Daphnia pulex: one gene and its partners. Each later gene encodes a partner of the first gene's protein in a complex. Links are inferred from orthologs where the notes say so. Each region holds a gene or a part of one and is shown in the gene's direction. Other genes may lie near its edges. The genes, in order: exosome component 10-like, exosome complex exonuclease RRP44-like, exosome complex component RRP4-like and exosome complex component RRP46-like.

Region 1 (4,457 bases):
TGATATTTTGGACGGAGATTACGAAGGTTTTCGAGATTATTCGTGTTTCAAGTCATGGATGATTCGACTATGGTCACACCTTCCCTGTAAAGATTTCGTTCGTTCCATAATTGAGTTTCAGAGCGCCGGGCGATGGCTTTGAGTTTCTGCAGTACAAATTAATGAAAAGTTAAGCAGATAGTATCGAGAACATTCAGAGCCAGTTCGCGTTTCCAAGCAAACAAGTCGTGTAGCATTTAAAAGATGCACGTTACCTGGTAATGCATATTCATCTCTTCGAAAATAGCTGATGGCCACGACACATTGCATGTTCGCTCGGTGAGTTTGCTCAAGCGGTTGACAGCATTCAAGAGGGCAAAGGCTCGGATTTCGACATCGCGTGGTTGAATGGGTGGGCACATGGAACGCAAGACGTCGTCAACTAATGGAAGGACAGATTTTGCAACCTAAAACACAACAGAACTTTCAGACACATAGTAATCTTTGGAGTGTCACAACTGAATTCCAACATAACAGAAATGCATGCAATTATTTTTCTTTTAGATAATGAGAGTTGTACCATTGCCAATTCAACAAATCTCTGTTGATCTGTAGAAGCCATAGCTGTAGTCACAAGCCTTTCACTCATCAAGTGACAGCCTTTTAAAATCTGAAGGCAATGAGGAACAATTCCAAGGGCATCGTCCACCCATTTCCATCTGTGAGATTCTAGAACTTTGTCCAAGTCAGGGTGAATCACTAAATCTTCAGGATCAATATTGTCCATGATGTAGTCTTCATCTTCCATCTCTAGGCTACTGATTAGATGAATATCAGACCTACTGGGAAATTCAAAAGCAAAATTACTCCCAACTGCGAAAGAAGTCTTTGTTCGTTTTTGAGATAGTTACCTCACATGGAATCCATTCTGCTGCACTTGTGGGCTTTGTTCCTTCTTCTTAAATTTAGAACCAAGATTAAAGCAACATAGTTTATATCTGCATATAAACAATAGCGCAAGGAGAGCAGCAATGAATACGGAAGTCAAAATCCCTCCAGTCACAACGACAACAGCGTGCATTGTTATGTGCTGAAAAAGAAAGCAATATAAGAAAATCTTTCGATCGTTTCAAGCGTCTGTCATATATTAGTTACCTTCGCAAAAACGACAAGTTTGGATGACACAGTGAACCTTTATAAGTACTCAATAACGAAAGTCCAAGTTAATAAACAACTAGTGCAAACATTTTTACGGCGGGATTAAAATTGTTATTATTTTATGGAAAAGAATGATGGTCAAGGCACTTGTTGATTTGTTATTTTCGGGGAACTTTTATAACGCCCTTGGCAGAATTTTAAAGCGCAATAGCATTTTCAAATGAATAAAAAATATTTAGTCGTGGGTTGAAAAATATTCTAAATTTACTAAATATTTTACTTGTTCATAGATATTCAATTAATTAAGTAATATAGATCCTTTTTAAGTTTAATAATAAATAAATCAACTGTTTAACTAACGGTGTATTACATGCATAATGTAGCAGACGACAAGTGGATTCTGAAAGCATGATTCTTTGGTCAACGGCGAGACTGAAACAAGGCGATTCACGTGCTTAATGTTTTCTGTGAATAATCGCAATAAGATTTTGTTGCAATTGATGATCAGAGAATATTTTTAAAATGAGTGAAAAAGAAAGTGAGAAGAATGGAAATGCCCAAGAGGTTCAACAGGTAGAGCATTGGCTGGCCAAACATTTTGAAATTTCATATCAGTCACAACTTGATTTTCTCTGTTTATTTAGAAATTATTTCAAAGTGCAATGAAGGTCACAAAGTACTCTAATGAATTACCAAGTAGTGGTTCAGACTGGGATTACTACCAAAGTTATCCAGCATATGCCAGCGCAATGAAAGAATTTGGTGGTCGCATTACTAACTTGTGAGTTACAGCTACCGTTAAGTATAAGAATTTTGTTTGATCCTAAAATTTTTATTTGTCAAGGATGACCACAATTTACGGACACTATGGACTAACAGGAAAGGTGGGAAAATTGGATTTGGAAGAGCAGATGGAGCTGGTGTCGGACAACAATGACATCTTGATGGAGCGAATAGTATGCTACTAGGAATTATTAGAATTTTACACCTGTTAAAAAAAACTGCTTTCGTTTCAGAATCTTTCTCTAGATGAAGCTGCTGGATTAAAAAAACAAGCAGAAACTGTAGTTGTTGAGATGATGGCAAAAACTACAAATATTAATGGCAGTTGGAATCGGCATTCTGTGGTATCTAGTTTTTCATACCAATTGTTGTCTTAGATGCTGAATCTATAAAGTATTCATCTTGTTTACAGAGTTCACCAGCAACCTCTTACAAACTTCTTTCTGCTAAAAACATTCTGAGACCACAGTTGAAATTCAAAGAGAAAATCAAGAATTCACCTGGACCGTTTATCCCCAAAATCAAAGATAAGCCTCATTCGTTGAAACCACTGGCGATACTATTAGAATTGAATGACTTGGGCGATGAAGAGTTTAGCCATCCGTACGAATTTGAATTGGAACGTTTTACACCGGATCCAAAGTTCTTCACCGTACTTGATGAAGTGCCTCCATTCCCAAGTGTTCAAGAAATCCCTTTGGTAATGATAGATACTGAAGAAGGTTTAAAAAGTCTTTTGAAAGTTTTGCTTGAGGAAACTGTGATTGCTGTAGATCTGGAGGTATTATTCACTGTCTAGCAGTTTTTAAATTGGTGAACCTTATTAAGTTCCTTAATTATTTATTGCCAGGCCCATTCATATAGATCCTTTCAAGGCCTAACATGCTTAATGCAAATTTCAACAAGCAGTTCTGACTACATTATAGACACTTTAGAGCTATGGGATCAACTACAGCCTTTAAATGAAGTTTTCTGCAACCCAAAGATTGTTAAGGTATGAGCTAACTGTTTAATTGAAGAAGTAACAAACTTATTTTGTTGGTTTTCGTTTAGATTTTTCATGGAGCTGATATGGATATTCAGTGGCTTCAGCGCGATTTCGGTATCTACGTCGTTAATCTTTTTGACACTTATCACGCTGCCAAATTATTGGGTTTTGCACAGCTGTCCTTGTCCTTCCTCCTTCGTCATTATTGCCAAGTTATTGCTGACAAACAATACCAGCTAGCCGATTGGCGAATTCGTCCCTTGCCTGAGCAAATGGTCAATTATGCTCGAGAAGATACCCACTACCTAGGATACATTTACGAAAAGATGAAAAAGGATTTGAAGATGAAGGGAACAGGAGATAATTTGCTGACAGCAGTTTGGCAAAACAGCCGACTGGTTTGTCTCAAACGTTACAGAATTCCCCCTATCACTGCCGAAAGTCACTTGGAATTGTATAGGCTCAGCAAGAAGATTTTCAACGAACGTCAGCTGTTTGCATTAAAAGAACTGTTTGCTTGGCGCGATCGAATAGCTCGAGAAGAAGACGAGAGCACTGGTTTTGTTCTACCCAAACACATGTTGTTACAAATCGCCGATGTTCTACCTAAGGAGATGCAAGGTATCCTTGCCTGTTGTTCACCTATCCCTTCGCTCGTTCGTCAGCATTTACTTCATCTCCATGGAATCATATTAAAAGCCAGAGAAATGCCTCTCGCCACTCTACAACATCACGGCCAGCCATTAGCCATCCCGAAAATGATGCCGACTCCATTGGATCAAGACACCGAAGACCCCCTTTATTGTATGCACGACTTGACACATTCTCAGGACATCCGAGACGACCTACCCACTCTGCTGAATCCGCAAACGATCGAATCAATGGCGTCAAGATCCGAGGAGTTTGGAGTCCGCGTCACTGTAAAAGAGTTCCCACAAGCTCTAATCTTCGCCGAATCGGCTCATTCTGGCATCGTGACAAATGTATCAACTAATTTTGTTTCTCCATACACGAGATATATTCGTGTCAGAGCTCTAAAGTCGGCCGAAGAAGCCGCAGAAGCACAACGTGTCGAAAAGTTGCGCCAACATTTCATGGAAGAAGTGGCGCATTCAACACCCGATGCCCAGCGTGAAGCGGAAGCGATGGAAGAAGAGGCGGAAGCAGTAGCAGTAGTTCCTGCGAAGAAAAAGAAGTTGGCGTTGAAAGCGCAGGGACTTAACAAGAAGAAGAAGAAAGTAGGGAGTACTAAACGAGTAACGGCTACTCCTGAAACATCTGTAATTCCATCAAACTCCAGCTCCCCATCGAAAAAGTCGGCGGATGCAGTAGTGCCGTCAGCATCCAAGAGCCCTAATCCAGCAACATCCAAGAGCCCCAATCCAGGAATGAAGAAAAAATCATTAAAACGACCGGCGAGCAAAGAAGCAGGAAATGACAGCGGGGCTAATTTCGAACCATTTGATTATTCCCAGGTTGATTATCACGCTTTTAAAAGGAGCGCACTGCGTGAAGATGGTGATGGACGCGGTCGGGGTCGAGGAAGAGG
Region 2 (4,514 bases), on another chromosome or scaffold:
AACAAGTTTATTATTCATGAGAAATGATTTTTCACATCGTTAATATATCGGCAGCTTTAGTTTCTACCAGAGTCTCCACCGATTCAATATCCTTACACCAATTCTCTAATCGGGTCATCATCGAGGACAGCTAGCAAGAAAAAATGTCAAATTTCTTACTAAAACTAAATGCCAATCATAACAAAATACCTGTTTCTTATCGAGAACACGAGGTTGGACCCAAGTGAAATGCGCAATAGAATCAACTTGATCAATTGTACCCTTCAAGAGTCCTTGCGCAAGAGCTTTCATTACTAGCAGCTCCACTTCATCTTCCCTGGCTCCTGTGCTGGCAGCAATGTCCTTGAATGACAAATTGCGTTTGGTGGCCGGGCGTTTGAAAGTCATCTAAACAAAAGAAAATGTCAACTTTTACTGCTTTAAAAAAAATAGTAAACCTTGCTATACCTCCATCAGAGCTAAAAGTGTTATTTTCTGCAGCACAAGTCGTTCATTGTTGACGAGATCTGCTTGTGAAGACCATTTCGATCTTAGTTTGTGGAATCCTGCAATATCTCCTGCATTCATTATGAATAAGAGGTCAACCAACCAACTCTCTTCCTGGTCCTTCAACGATTCCAAGACAGGATGGGCCAACTGCATTGCGATATGTTAGCTACATTTCACAAAGATGTTATCATATAAACATACCAGTTCACCAAGATTGTAAATTCCTTCTCCAAGCAAGGCAGCAATACCAAGGTGAAAAGCTTGGCTCTTCTGTTCAGCATTGCTTAAACTTGTGAGTTCAATACAACCCAAGTACCTATTCAAGTTATGAAAGATAAAGAAAATAATGAATAGAATGAAAATCAAGTTTGTATGACAACTTCTACTACCTCAAGGATGCACGATAGAAATCTGCATGCTTGCCATAAATACGGTAAAAGTCACTACAAAGAGAGTAGTATCTTCCATGAACAGGAGTCACTCCATCTGTATCATCAAGGATTTTGCCGATTTCTTCCATGATATTCTTAGTTTCAACTTGATCTCCTTTTTCATGTAAAATAATGCCTCCACTGAGGACTTTACAAAGAGCTAATGCTTCTTTGTTAGCCTTCACTTTTTCTTGAAGCTGCTTGAGAAAAGCTAAGCGCTCTTCCACAGTCCCCATTTGCTTCACAATGATGGCACATATCTCGGTAAGTGACAGAAGATTAATTCTAGGCACAAGAAAAATGATTAATAAAACATTTAAAAAAATTACTTGATAAAGAAGGAACTTACTTGTTCTCAAAGTCGGCCACAAAATTTTCGTATAGCTGTACAAGTTCATTATTTGATTGAAGACTCGGATGTTTGACGAAATCGAGCATCTCGATGGTAAGCTGATGCCATAGTTTTTTGTTATAGAGACTTTCAAGTTTTGCCCATTCTGCTGCCAAGTCTTGATCCACGGTATTTTGCTTAGAGTTGAGATATTTCGCGACGTCCCTCATTCTGAAATCTATTGAACCGGTCAATATTCACGTCTTCAAACAATCGCTACTCGGATGACGAGACGATTTTTTTCACTCAATTTTCTGTCAAGAAAAATGAAGAAACAATGTTGCCAGGTCACCTAGTAGAGAAGAAGCAGGTTTCCGCCGAATTGAATTTCGTCTGCTCTGTTTCTGCACGTTGTTGAATTTAACAGAAGTTGGAACAAACTGGATTAATAATTTAGACGAAAATTTGAATAGGCAACATGCTTACAAGTAAAGTGTTTTTACGAAAAACGAAAAGAGGTAAATGCTTTGAACACAAATGTCTGCCCATCTTTGTCTCATCATTGTAAATTCCAGGAAAGGTTTTGAAAGTAGTCAGAGAGCATTACCTTAGAGATGACCTATGGTGTGGTTCTGAGCTGTGTAAAAAATGCGGCCAAGAAAACAGCGATGTGCTAGACAAGTCTCCTGTGTCGTCTAGTACACTTTGTGCCTTCCCTCATTATATTGTGATTGACACCAACATTGTGCTACATCAGGTATTTAACATTTATTTGTACGATGAATTACGCTATAAAATGATTTGTTGTTGCACAGATTGATGTGTTGGAGAGTTCAGCTTGGAAAAATGTTATCCTGTTGCAAACAGTATTGGAAGAAACCAGGAAGCGTAGCACAAATAATTACAAAAAGTTGAGAGAGATTATGGCGACAAGAAAAGACAGCTTTTATGTTTTTGTCAATGAACATCACAAGTATCTTTTGTTTCTGCATTTCTAAATATTCCCTAGGTATTTTAACCATTATATTTGACAGAGATACTTATGTTGAAAGAAAGCCTGGTGAAAGTGCAAATGACAGAAATGATAGAGCTATTCGAAAAGCTTGCAGTTGGTATCAAACTCACTTGGAAGAAAGCCAGAAAGGAAATGACAAGAAAAAACAGATCAAGGTTGTTTTGTTGACTCAGGATTTTAAGAACAGAGAGCAAGCATGTAATGAGGGGATCCCTACTTATAAAGGTAAACAACACAATTTTAAACCATTTTATTTGTTGACTAAATGTTATGATTTTCAATTCCAGTGGATGAGTATGTGAAGAGCTTGAAAGATTTTCCAGATCTTCAAGAAAAGCTAGCTGCCTCACATTCCGAAAGTAATAACGAAAATCGTGAACCATTGTATCCCGAGCATTTAGCTCCCACCAGAATTATGTCGGGAATTAAATCTGGAAAGCTACTCCAAGGGGTTTTCCACTCTTCAAGGTGATTTCGCCTGGTACATATACATATATGCTACAATCTTTAACACTTTTTCTTTCCCTCATCAGAGAAAATTTTTTGGAAGGAACTGTTAGTGTTGAAGGACAAGATAAATCCATTCTCTTGCAAGGCCATGCCAGTTTGAATCGCGCAGTTGACGGTGATGTTGTCGCTGTTGAATTGCTACCGGGTATGATTTATCAATAATTTATTTGCTTCAACAGATTTATAATATTTTATTAAGAGGACAAATGGACATCCCCTAGCGGCATCGTTTTGGAGGATCAAGAAGAGCAAGATCCTGGTAACATACATTTCGAGAATATGCGCAATTTCATTTGCCTTATTAATTTTTACTTTATAGGTGATGAAATTGAGAAAGAAGAAAAATTATTGATTGATAGCACGAAAAGCAAGGATCGCCAACCAACTGGTTAGCAGAGTAGATTTCCACTCATTCGCTTTTTCTTATCAGTTATTTGACTGTTTAATTTATAGGTAAAATCGTTGGAATTATTCGTCGTAAATGGCGCCAATATTGCGGAATATTGCTTCCCAGTGTTCTTCCAGAAGGGACTCGCCACCTTTTCGTTCCGGCTGAAAGGAAAATTCCGAAAATTCGCATTGAAACTCGCCAAGCTGTAACGTTGTCTACGCAAAAAATAATAGTTGCGATCGATTCATGGCCTCGTACTTCAAGATATCCACTCGGTCATTTCGTTCGTGCTTTGGGTAACATCGGCGACAAAGACACTGAAAATGAGGTGACAATTTATACGGGATTTGCAAATTTTTCTTATTCTAAGCTGGTTTCATTTCTTTTTTTCTCTAGGTTCTTTTGTTGGAGCATGGTAATTGTTACTGTTACTCTTCTTTTCATAATCTAAACTAGATCCTTGTGAACGTCATTATTCGATTATTTCGTTATCTAGATGTGCCGCACCATAGCTTCCCAGAAACAGTGTTGGCTTGTTTGCCTACGATGCCATGGATGATAACGGAAGAGGAAGTGAAACGTCGCGAAGACTTGCGCCACTTAGATATTTGCAGTGTTGATCCACCGGGGTGTACAGATATCGACGACGCTCTCCATTTCAGAGAATTGTCACCGAATCTATATGAAATTGGAGTTCATATTGCGGATGTTTCACATTTCGTCAGGCCAGATACTGCACTTGATAAAGAAGCTGCCAACAGGTATTGCATTTCATGTGGAAATACTGTCAGCTATATTTTCATGTGTATTACTTTGGCAGAGGAACAACCGTTTACCTTGTTGACCGCCGTATCGACATGGTCCCTGAACTTTTAAGTTCAAATCTCTGTTCTTTGAGGCCGGATCAAGAACGACTCGCATTTTCTGTTATTTGGCAAGTGACTGCAGATGCTGAAATTCAAAAAACTCGTTTTACGAAAAGTGTGATACGATCTCGTCGAGCTTTCACCTATGCGGAAGCTCAGTGCAACATTGATGATTCACTTCAACAAAATGAATTGGCCAAAAGCCTTCGTGGGTTAAATAAATTGGCTAAAATATTGAAGAAAAACCGTATGGACAAAGGGTATGTACAAAGAAAGTGTTGGAATGACGCAACAGTTCTTGTTGTTTAACCTTAAATTTATTTAAGTGCGTTGCAGTTATCAAGCCCTGAGATTAGGTTTGAGGTCAGCACTGAGACAAACGACCCTATTGATGTAATTTCAAAACCAATGCTGGACACCAATAGTATGGTAGAAGAGTTCATGTTGTTGGCTAATATTTCAGTGGCTGATCACATTTTCA
Region 3 (3,509 bases), on another chromosome or scaffold:
CTCGTCGATAAAATTGGTAAGCCAGTAGAGTATAACCTGATGGGATTCCACCTGCGAATCCTTTCGCCCCGAAAAAACCATTGGCCTATTGGGAATAAATCAATCAAATTAAATGGGAGAACGTTTGTTTGAATGGTGATAGGGGCTTACCAGAGGATGTGCCATGAGAATGTGAACATTTGGCTGGGACGCTTCTAGCAAACTATCCATATAGTCCTGAGTCAGGTTGAAGTACCCGGTTGCTAGACATAATTCGGCGTTTGCCGGTACGTTTTCTAGAATCTCGCGCGTCAAGATGTTATCCATGTAAATGTTTAGCTGCCCCATCTGGACGAAAGGGAAGATCCAGGTGTCGTAAGCAGACGGATTCGGCCATTGAAATATCGAGGACGAAACATTTGCTTTTATTTGCTTTTCAAACAAGTTGTTGATTCTCCGTTTTGCTTCTTCTGTAAATTCAAGCCGATTGGATTCAAACGGATGGTGAGGAAAAGCGGAATTCAAGTTAAGGCAGTTGTTTTCACTTAAATGAAATGAAAACTGGCACACAGTTTCTACTAGTTGGTCAAAGAAATCCACTAAATCTTTGCAATCTTCCATAATTATGTATCGATCTTGCCGATTTGTGAAGTAATCGTGGCTTAAATTTGCGCCACTGATTAATAAGGAATCGTCAAATATGTAAATCTTCATATGTTGCAAGCCAATAATTTCATTCCATCTTTCTGGGAGAATTTTCTTTAATAATCCTCTAAGTGCTGGAGTGTGATAAAAATGGACTGAACACTGCTGGCTGTAGGACTGAACTAAGGGAAGCAGCATTGTACGGGAATTGAATTGGGCACCTCTAGAGCCTCTTGTTGCATCCAACAGAATTCGAACTTTCAGGCTGGAGCCAGAGTTTTTCTTCAAAGTACTTTCAATTGTTTTTACAAGCTCATTTTCATGATTTCCTGTTCCAAGATATAAGGATGCAAAAGTGACTCTTTGACTTGCTTGACTAGTCTTTTCAATAAGTGTTTTGTAGAAATCTTCAGGATCAGACAAAACTCGAACCTAAGAAAAAATTTTACAACTATTACTAGAAGACACTAATAAAATACCTTATTAGAACACTAACCTTATTTCCGTTCACAGGGAAACAAGGGGTTTTACTTCCGAGCCATCTGAAATTTTCAAGGGTCGTTAACAGTTCCGTTCTCTGCTGTTCATCACTGTCGGGTTCCATTTCGGGACGATGCTGGAGATGAAGTGATCTCGAGACAAGGTTACGTTGCCAACCTCTGCGAGCAGTCTTGGGAAGGAAGTGCCAAGATACTCGTTGTCGCCCAGCAACGCATATCGTTGTTGAAAAAAGTATTGCTTTTTGGCAAATTAGTGACATTTACTTGTACGGACGAATGAAATGAATCGGCATATAAACAAACAGACATCTGATGGCAAAAATTAATACTAATGTGATTCGCGCAATGTTTTATTTGATTCGTTAAAAAAATTTCAGTTGACTTTATATTTTCCATTTCGAACATAAGTTAATTAGTCGATTTAAATTGCACAATATCATTTTGACAAGAATATCCACAAATATTTATATTCTTAAATATTTTGATATCGCCATAGCTTAGGCAACGTAGCAGCATGGTATAGCAGAACACGATGAATTATTGTCATTTTCAAGTGTGCTGTTGTTTCCTTTTTTTTGAACTTGATACATTAGGATAATTAAAACCAAAAGAATGGTAGACATTCGCCTTGCTTCTGAAGTGCCTCCTTTTCATATCGTCGCTGATTCTACTGAACCCAAACATCTTGTCACACCTGGCTCTTTGATCACAAAGGAAACAGGATTCATGAGGTAGATTGTTAAAAGTTTTGCCATTTTCTTGATGATAATCTTATTTTATGTTTTGCTAAGGGGTCATGGAACATACATGCAAGATGACTGTTTGTACTCCAGTGTTGCTGGAGTTGTGGAGAGAGTCAACCAACTTATTTCAGTTAGACCCTTGAAATCTCGTTATCATGGGGAGATTGGAGATGTCGTAATTGGTAGGGTTACTGAGGTTTCACAGAAACGTTGGAAACTGGACACCAATGCAAGATTAGATTCAGTGCTTCTTCTTCAGTCAGTCAATTTGCCTGGTGGTGAACTCGTAAGAAAGACTTTTTATTTGTGCAATTACACAAATATTTATATCTCATAATGCTTTTAGAGAAGAAGATCAGCAGAAGATGAATTAGCCATGAGGCAATACCTGAAAGAAGGAGATTTGGTCAGTGCAGAGGTTCAAAACATCTTCAATGATGGAGCTCTTTCTTTACACACCCGCAGCATGAAATATGGAAAAGTATAACAATAAGTTATTTAAAATATTAACTGTAATAACAACCATTTATCTGTTATAGCTTTCCCAAGGTTGCCTAATAAAAGTTAGTCCATCTTTGATCCGAAGACAGAAGACTCATTTCCACAACTTGCCTTGCGGAGCAAGTATCATTATGGGTAACAATGGATTTGTTTGGATCTGCCCTACGCTCCTTGACGATGGCGCCGGTGGATTTGTTCAAAACTTGGAGGTGCGTACTAAAAAGTCGATGTTTGTACATTATCACGTGGAAGCTAATTCTGTTGAAACCTATAGACAGTTCCGCATGCCGATCGACAAGCTATAAGCCGGTTAAGGAATTGTGTGACAGCTTTGGCGCACTGCAAGATGATGATCTATGATACCAGCATTATGCATGCCTACGAAGCCTCCGTAAATGCTGGGCTTGAGGTAATTATTTTTACATTGAAACTAAATAATTCAATGCTAACTTATATAATGCTTTTATGTAGATCAAGGATCTTCTCCTACCGGACAAGATAAAAGAAATCGCTTTAATGGTTCGTAAGCAGTTCGAAATGGAAAAAGAATAATTTAATTTTCGAATAAACATGGCTCAGGCTGAACCAGAAGTTGACATTCGATTTCCCAAACATTAATGGTGTGGATCAGTTTATTCATACTGCAGACAAAGTTTTATTCTGGGGCAGGGAAAAACATAAACGAAGAAACATTCGATAATAAAGGCGGTTTTTTTTTGTTTCCAACTACAACCGGTTTCCCAAGAATATTAAAATTTTGTAGACTTCATTTATAAGTCATCCCCCCCACAAATCATATTTACATTAAAACAAGTGTGCTAGAGAAAACCAGGATAAGATCTGCCGTAAGCACCACTCAACAAAATGCCCTGGGCTAGTTTTGAAACACCTAAAAAGATTATATAGGATAATAAATTACTAATGGACCCCGTTCCCTAGGTCCACCAAGGAAGGAAAAAAAAAAGATTTAACCGGAAGTCATGTTAAAGCGCTGCTTTAACAAATCAAGCAAATAATAATTAACAAAAAAAAAAAATAATGATAAATAGAAACAATGAATATCTAGCGAAATTCCGTGACGACGAATGGATAACGATTATGTTTAGGAGGGCTTCACGATTGGAAAATGTCCCGTGTTTTT
Region 4 (3,212 bases), on another chromosome or scaffold:
TTCCTTCCATCTCAATCATCCTAAATCCAATATCGCAACGTGGCTGCTGAAGAAATCGATTGGCCCCCTCTTGAAAAGAGATTATTTCTAATCATCCAACCTTATTGATCATTTAAAGCAGGATTGTGTCAACAGTTCCCAGTGGAAGTGGATGGGAAAATATGGAGAAAAATTCCGAATACAACAGCTTAGCAACTTAAAAGGCAAAAATATACACGGCAAACACACTTAAGCAACGACAGTGATGACGTAATATAATCAAAACAAAAAAGCTCTCTGGTTACTACAATAAAGGCGTTGTCAGGTGTATAGTGATGCATGGACGTGGAGGTAATTGGATCGGCGTGTAATGTTCAAAAACACTTACCCGTTGATTAATAAAGTTGCAGGCCAAATCTTTGAGCGTTTTCAGCGTTAACTGGGAGGCATCCGTGGAGATAAAGTCTCGTACCAGTCCAACTTGGAACATAAAGGTCACCTGACCATTACCATCATCCATGATGGAGCTTGGATCCAAAATTTTATGAAAAACACAATCACAATTATGGCGAAGTTTGACTTTTGGATGGCAGTGAAATTCGCACACACACAAAACTGGCCCTTTTTCGTTGGAATAGTCTGTGTGGTTGGTGTGTGTGTGTGCAATCAGGTGGGAGCAATGGAGTAAAAAAAAAAAAAAAACGGGTTCCAGCAACCAACAGGTTGATTGGAATGTCACATAGCCTCGGGCTGAGATCACCTTTTCTTTCGTCGTTCTCCCGCCCTGGCACCACTTAGATTTTTCCTTTTCTTTCTTCTTCAAAGAAAAAAGGTTGGGTTTTTACCTCCACTTGATTGCACGACAAAACTGAGCAACACGACTGTTTTAAAACCAACACAGATGGGAGCAGCACAACGCGTGATAACACGTTGGTGATGAAAAAAGTCGGTGCGAATAAGAGGGACTGGCTAATGGAAATGCCCAAACTAAATTCAATTAATACGCAGGTTTCCCAATCATGATGGCACACACAAAAAATTCACGTATAAACATCACACACACACACACACACACTAGCACACTTTACGTTCTCTCGAGAAATGCAGAAACAGACTCACGTACGTGTGTGTGTGTGTTTCTGACCGTGCAGCTCAAGTCACGATAACTTGGTAGTCTGCCGAGCTAATAAATACTGTCGCTACTCGGAGATCCGTCTTTGGCTTGCTCACAATTTTCTGGCCAAAAACAGCGTTGCCATTCTCTCGTGACTGAACGAACGAAATCCATGAAAAATACATATTCATAGCTACATTGGAAAATTGTGAATTTTTCAGGTCTTCTTTATTACAAATATAATAGTTGTTTTAAATTCATGGAGTTAAAAGTTATATTTTGTGTGATTAAGTAAATGGTTGCCATGGTAACTTAGAGACATCTGCAGACTGCTGTTGCCGACCCGTCAACCCCATGTATTTTTTACGATCACGTTGCTTATGCAGAAACAGGGCTGCGTTCTTAATCTGAATTATTGAATACTTTTTCAATCACAAAGAATTGCTTGCAATATTATTATTCGCCATGGAGACTGAAGAGAATAGCATTCGTGCTTTAAAGTGCGAACAAAGCGTACTGTCACGTGCAGATGGCTCGGTGATGTTTTCTCAAGGTAAGTTTAGATTTGTAACTTTTTCCACGCTGTTTTCGTGTTATTTTGTCCAAGTCGGTAAATTTTATTTTATTGACTTGTCATTTCAGGGAATACTGTGGTAATGGCTTCAGTTTATGGACCTTTGGAGGCTAAAATTCAAAAGGAACTGTCCGATAGAATGTACATTGAACTAAACTACAAGCCAAAAACAGGAATGCCAGGTTATTAATAACTTATCCTGTGTATTATTATTTCTGTAATATTGAATGCATTTTTATTTAGGTGTTGCTGAGCGTGGAAAGGAGAAACTCATCAAGACCACTTGTAATCACATTATTTTGACGAACCTGCACCCTCGAACAGCTGTCTGCATAACAGTTCAAGAAATGCAAGATGGTGGAACTGTAAGCACTTACCACAACAAATTTATTTTGATCAAGAATTAGTTGTTCACATTTTCCATAAACTAGTTGCTAGCAGCCTCCATCAATGCTGTGTGCCTTGCACTTCTTGACTCGGGTTTACCCCTGCAGTGTCTTGTAGCTGCAGTGACTTGTTTGGTAGACAAGAAGGATAGAATTGTCCTAGACCCATGCATCAGCACAGTCAAAGTATGATTTCCACTAAGAATTAACTAATTTTTTTCCCCCATTTTTTGTTGTTGTGCCTAACTTACTTTTTTCCCCATTACAGGAAGGTTATAAAGCAATGTTTACCTTTGCTTTTGACAGTCAAAAATACAACTTAATTCTGAGCCACTGTGAAGGCCAAGTTCCCTATCAACTTTTTCAAAAAGCCATGGAGCTGTGTCAGAAAGCCAGTCACGTCATCTTTGATTTCTACCGGCAAGCAGTACTACGAAAGTTTTCCAACGAACTTCTGTAAAACTTTCAAAAAATACACATTTTAAAGTTTTGTATATGCGACTGAAAACAAAGTATAATTGTATAAGTATAGGCTTGCTTATTTCCAGTATCGTTAAATTTCTTCGGAAAACCAATCCATCCTAATATGTCATGCGCATCTAGCAATACTCGAGTAATCACGTTCACCAAAACTATATCTAGAAGGTTTCCTGCCCGGAGCTTGGCTCCAATGCAATGCGGTACAATTTTGACACAAGTTATTTAGGTATAGTAAAAGTGCCGATTGTGAAATCAGAAAAAAAATAAACTTAACTTTGAAACAAACTCTTCTTAGAATGACATATGGTAGGTAGTTCTACCATTTTTAGGATTTATTCGGTCGGAAAATGTAGCATAAAGGAATTTCTTTTATGGTTATTCTGAAAATTTATTTCAAGGTGGTCTGGATATATCGAGTGCGATTTCAGCCTTTACGGTAATAGGCCTTGAAATGTTTTTCTCAATTAGAAAGTTTAGCCAATTAGGCTGTCAAGTCAAAGTCAACACAAATAAAGCAATTCTAAATTTAAGTCATGTATCACCTGATTCCAGTTTCGAGTTATTTTCCGATTGTTCCATTTCAGTAGCAATCGTAATCATGATTGTGGCTAAGTAAACGTTATCTTGTGTGTGGTGTCCATTATTAGACAAAAGAATCTAAATTGGTCAGAACACTTTG

Evidence for each region.
Region 2: exosome component 10-like (region 1) and exosome complex exonuclease RRP44-like share a complex: the UniProt entries of both Caenorhabditis elegans proteins name them as parts of the RNA exosome complex. The link is inferred for Daphnia pulex from reciprocal best matches to the Caenorhabditis elegans genes crn-3 and dis-3.
Region 3: exosome component 10-like (region 1) and exosome complex component RRP4-like share a complex: the UniProt entries of both Caenorhabditis elegans proteins name them as parts of the RNA exosome complex. The link is inferred for Daphnia pulex from reciprocal best matches to the Caenorhabditis elegans genes crn-3 and exos-2.
Region 4: exosome component 10-like (region 1) and exosome complex component RRP46-like share a complex: the UniProt entries of both Caenorhabditis elegans proteins name them as parts of the RNA exosome complex. The link is inferred for Daphnia pulex from reciprocal best matches to the Caenorhabditis elegans genes crn-3 and crn-5.

The regions. Positions count from the first base shown.
Region 1 is NC_060022.1:1,682,207-1,686,663, reverse strand, and holds the start of exosome component 10-like, read left to right. Parts: upstream 1-1,476; 5' UTR 1,477-1,659; coding exon 1,660-1,710; intron 1,711-1,781; coding exon 1,782-1,918; intron 1,919-1,981; coding exon 1,982-2,093; intron 2,094-2,153; coding exon 2,154-2,264; intron 2,265-2,332; coding exon 2,333-2,701; intron 2,702-2,770; coding exon 2,771-2,914; intron 2,915-2,973; coding exon 2,974-4,457. Other genes in the region: transmembrane protein 98-like, read right to left, coding at 48-146, 255-446, 560-821, 891-1,060. UniProt on the Caenorhabditis elegans protein: Catalytic component of the RNA exosome complex which has 3'->5' exoribonuclease activity and participates in a multitude of cellular RNA processing and degradation events. Involved in apoptotic DNA degradation.
Region 2 is NC_060019.1:10,637,904-10,642,417, reverse strand, and holds the start of exosome complex exonuclease RRP44-like, read left to right. Parts: upstream 1-1,614; 5' UTR 1,615-1,729; coding exon 1,730-1,769; intron 1,770-1,826; coding exon 1,827-2,008; intron 2,009-2,066; coding exon 2,067-2,224; intron 2,225-2,285; coding exon 2,286-2,491; intron 2,492-2,553; coding exon 2,554-2,734; intron 2,735-2,799; coding exon 2,800-2,921; intron 2,922-2,975; coding exon 2,976-3,035; intron 3,036-3,095; coding exon 3,096-3,164; intron 3,165-3,229; coding exon 3,230-3,495; intron 3,496-3,563; coding exon 3,564-3,582; intron 3,583-3,663; coding exon 3,664-3,928; intron 3,929-3,987; coding exon 3,988-4,293; intron 4,294-4,359; coding exon 4,360-4,514. Other genes in the region: 26S proteasome non-ATPase regulatory subunit 13-like, read right to left, coding at 32-130, 190-387, 448-636, 691-805, 879-1,205, 1,270-1,481. UniProt on the Caenorhabditis elegans protein: Putative catalytic component of the RNA exosome complex which has 3'->5' exoribonuclease activity and participates in a multitude of cellular RNA processing and degradation events. Has both 3'-5' exonuclease and endonuclease activities.
Region 3 is NC_060023.1:8,701,355-8,704,863, reverse strand, and holds exosome complex component RRP4-like, read left to right. Parts: upstream 1-1,622; 5' UTR 1,623-1,736; coding exon 1,737-1,855; intron 1,856-1,915; coding exon 1,916-2,153; intron 2,154-2,213; coding exon 2,214-2,348; intron 2,349-2,406; coding exon 2,407-2,577; intron 2,578-2,642; coding exon 2,643-2,777; intron 2,778-2,839; coding exon 2,840-2,920; 3' UTR 2,921-2,953; downstream 2,954-3,509. Other genes in the region: CDP-diacylglycerol--glycerol-3-phosphate 3-phosphatidyltransferase, mitochondrial-like, read right to left, coding at 1-85, 151-1,056, 1,121-1,384. UniProt on the Caenorhabditis elegans protein: Non-catalytic component of the RNA exosome complex which has 3'->5' exoribonuclease activity and participates in a multitude of cellular RNA processing and degradation events. Involved in regulation of antisense ribosomal siRNA production.
Region 4 is NC_060020.1:3,912,658-3,915,869, forward strand, and holds exosome complex component RRP46-like, read left to right. Parts: upstream 1-1,409; 5' UTR 1,410-1,558; coding exon 1,559-1,646; intron 1,647-1,735; coding exon 1,736-1,849; intron 1,850-1,910; coding exon 1,911-2,032; intron 2,033-2,098; coding exon 2,099-2,239; intron 2,240-2,321; coding exon 2,322-2,513; 3' UTR 2,514-2,547; downstream 2,548-3,212. Other genes in the region: serine/threonine-protein kinase D1-like, read right to left, coding at 368-499. UniProt on the Caenorhabditis elegans protein: Non-catalytic component of the RNA exosome complex which has 3'->5' exoribonuclease activity and participates in a multitude of cellular RNA processing and degradation events. Involved in apoptotic DNA degradation.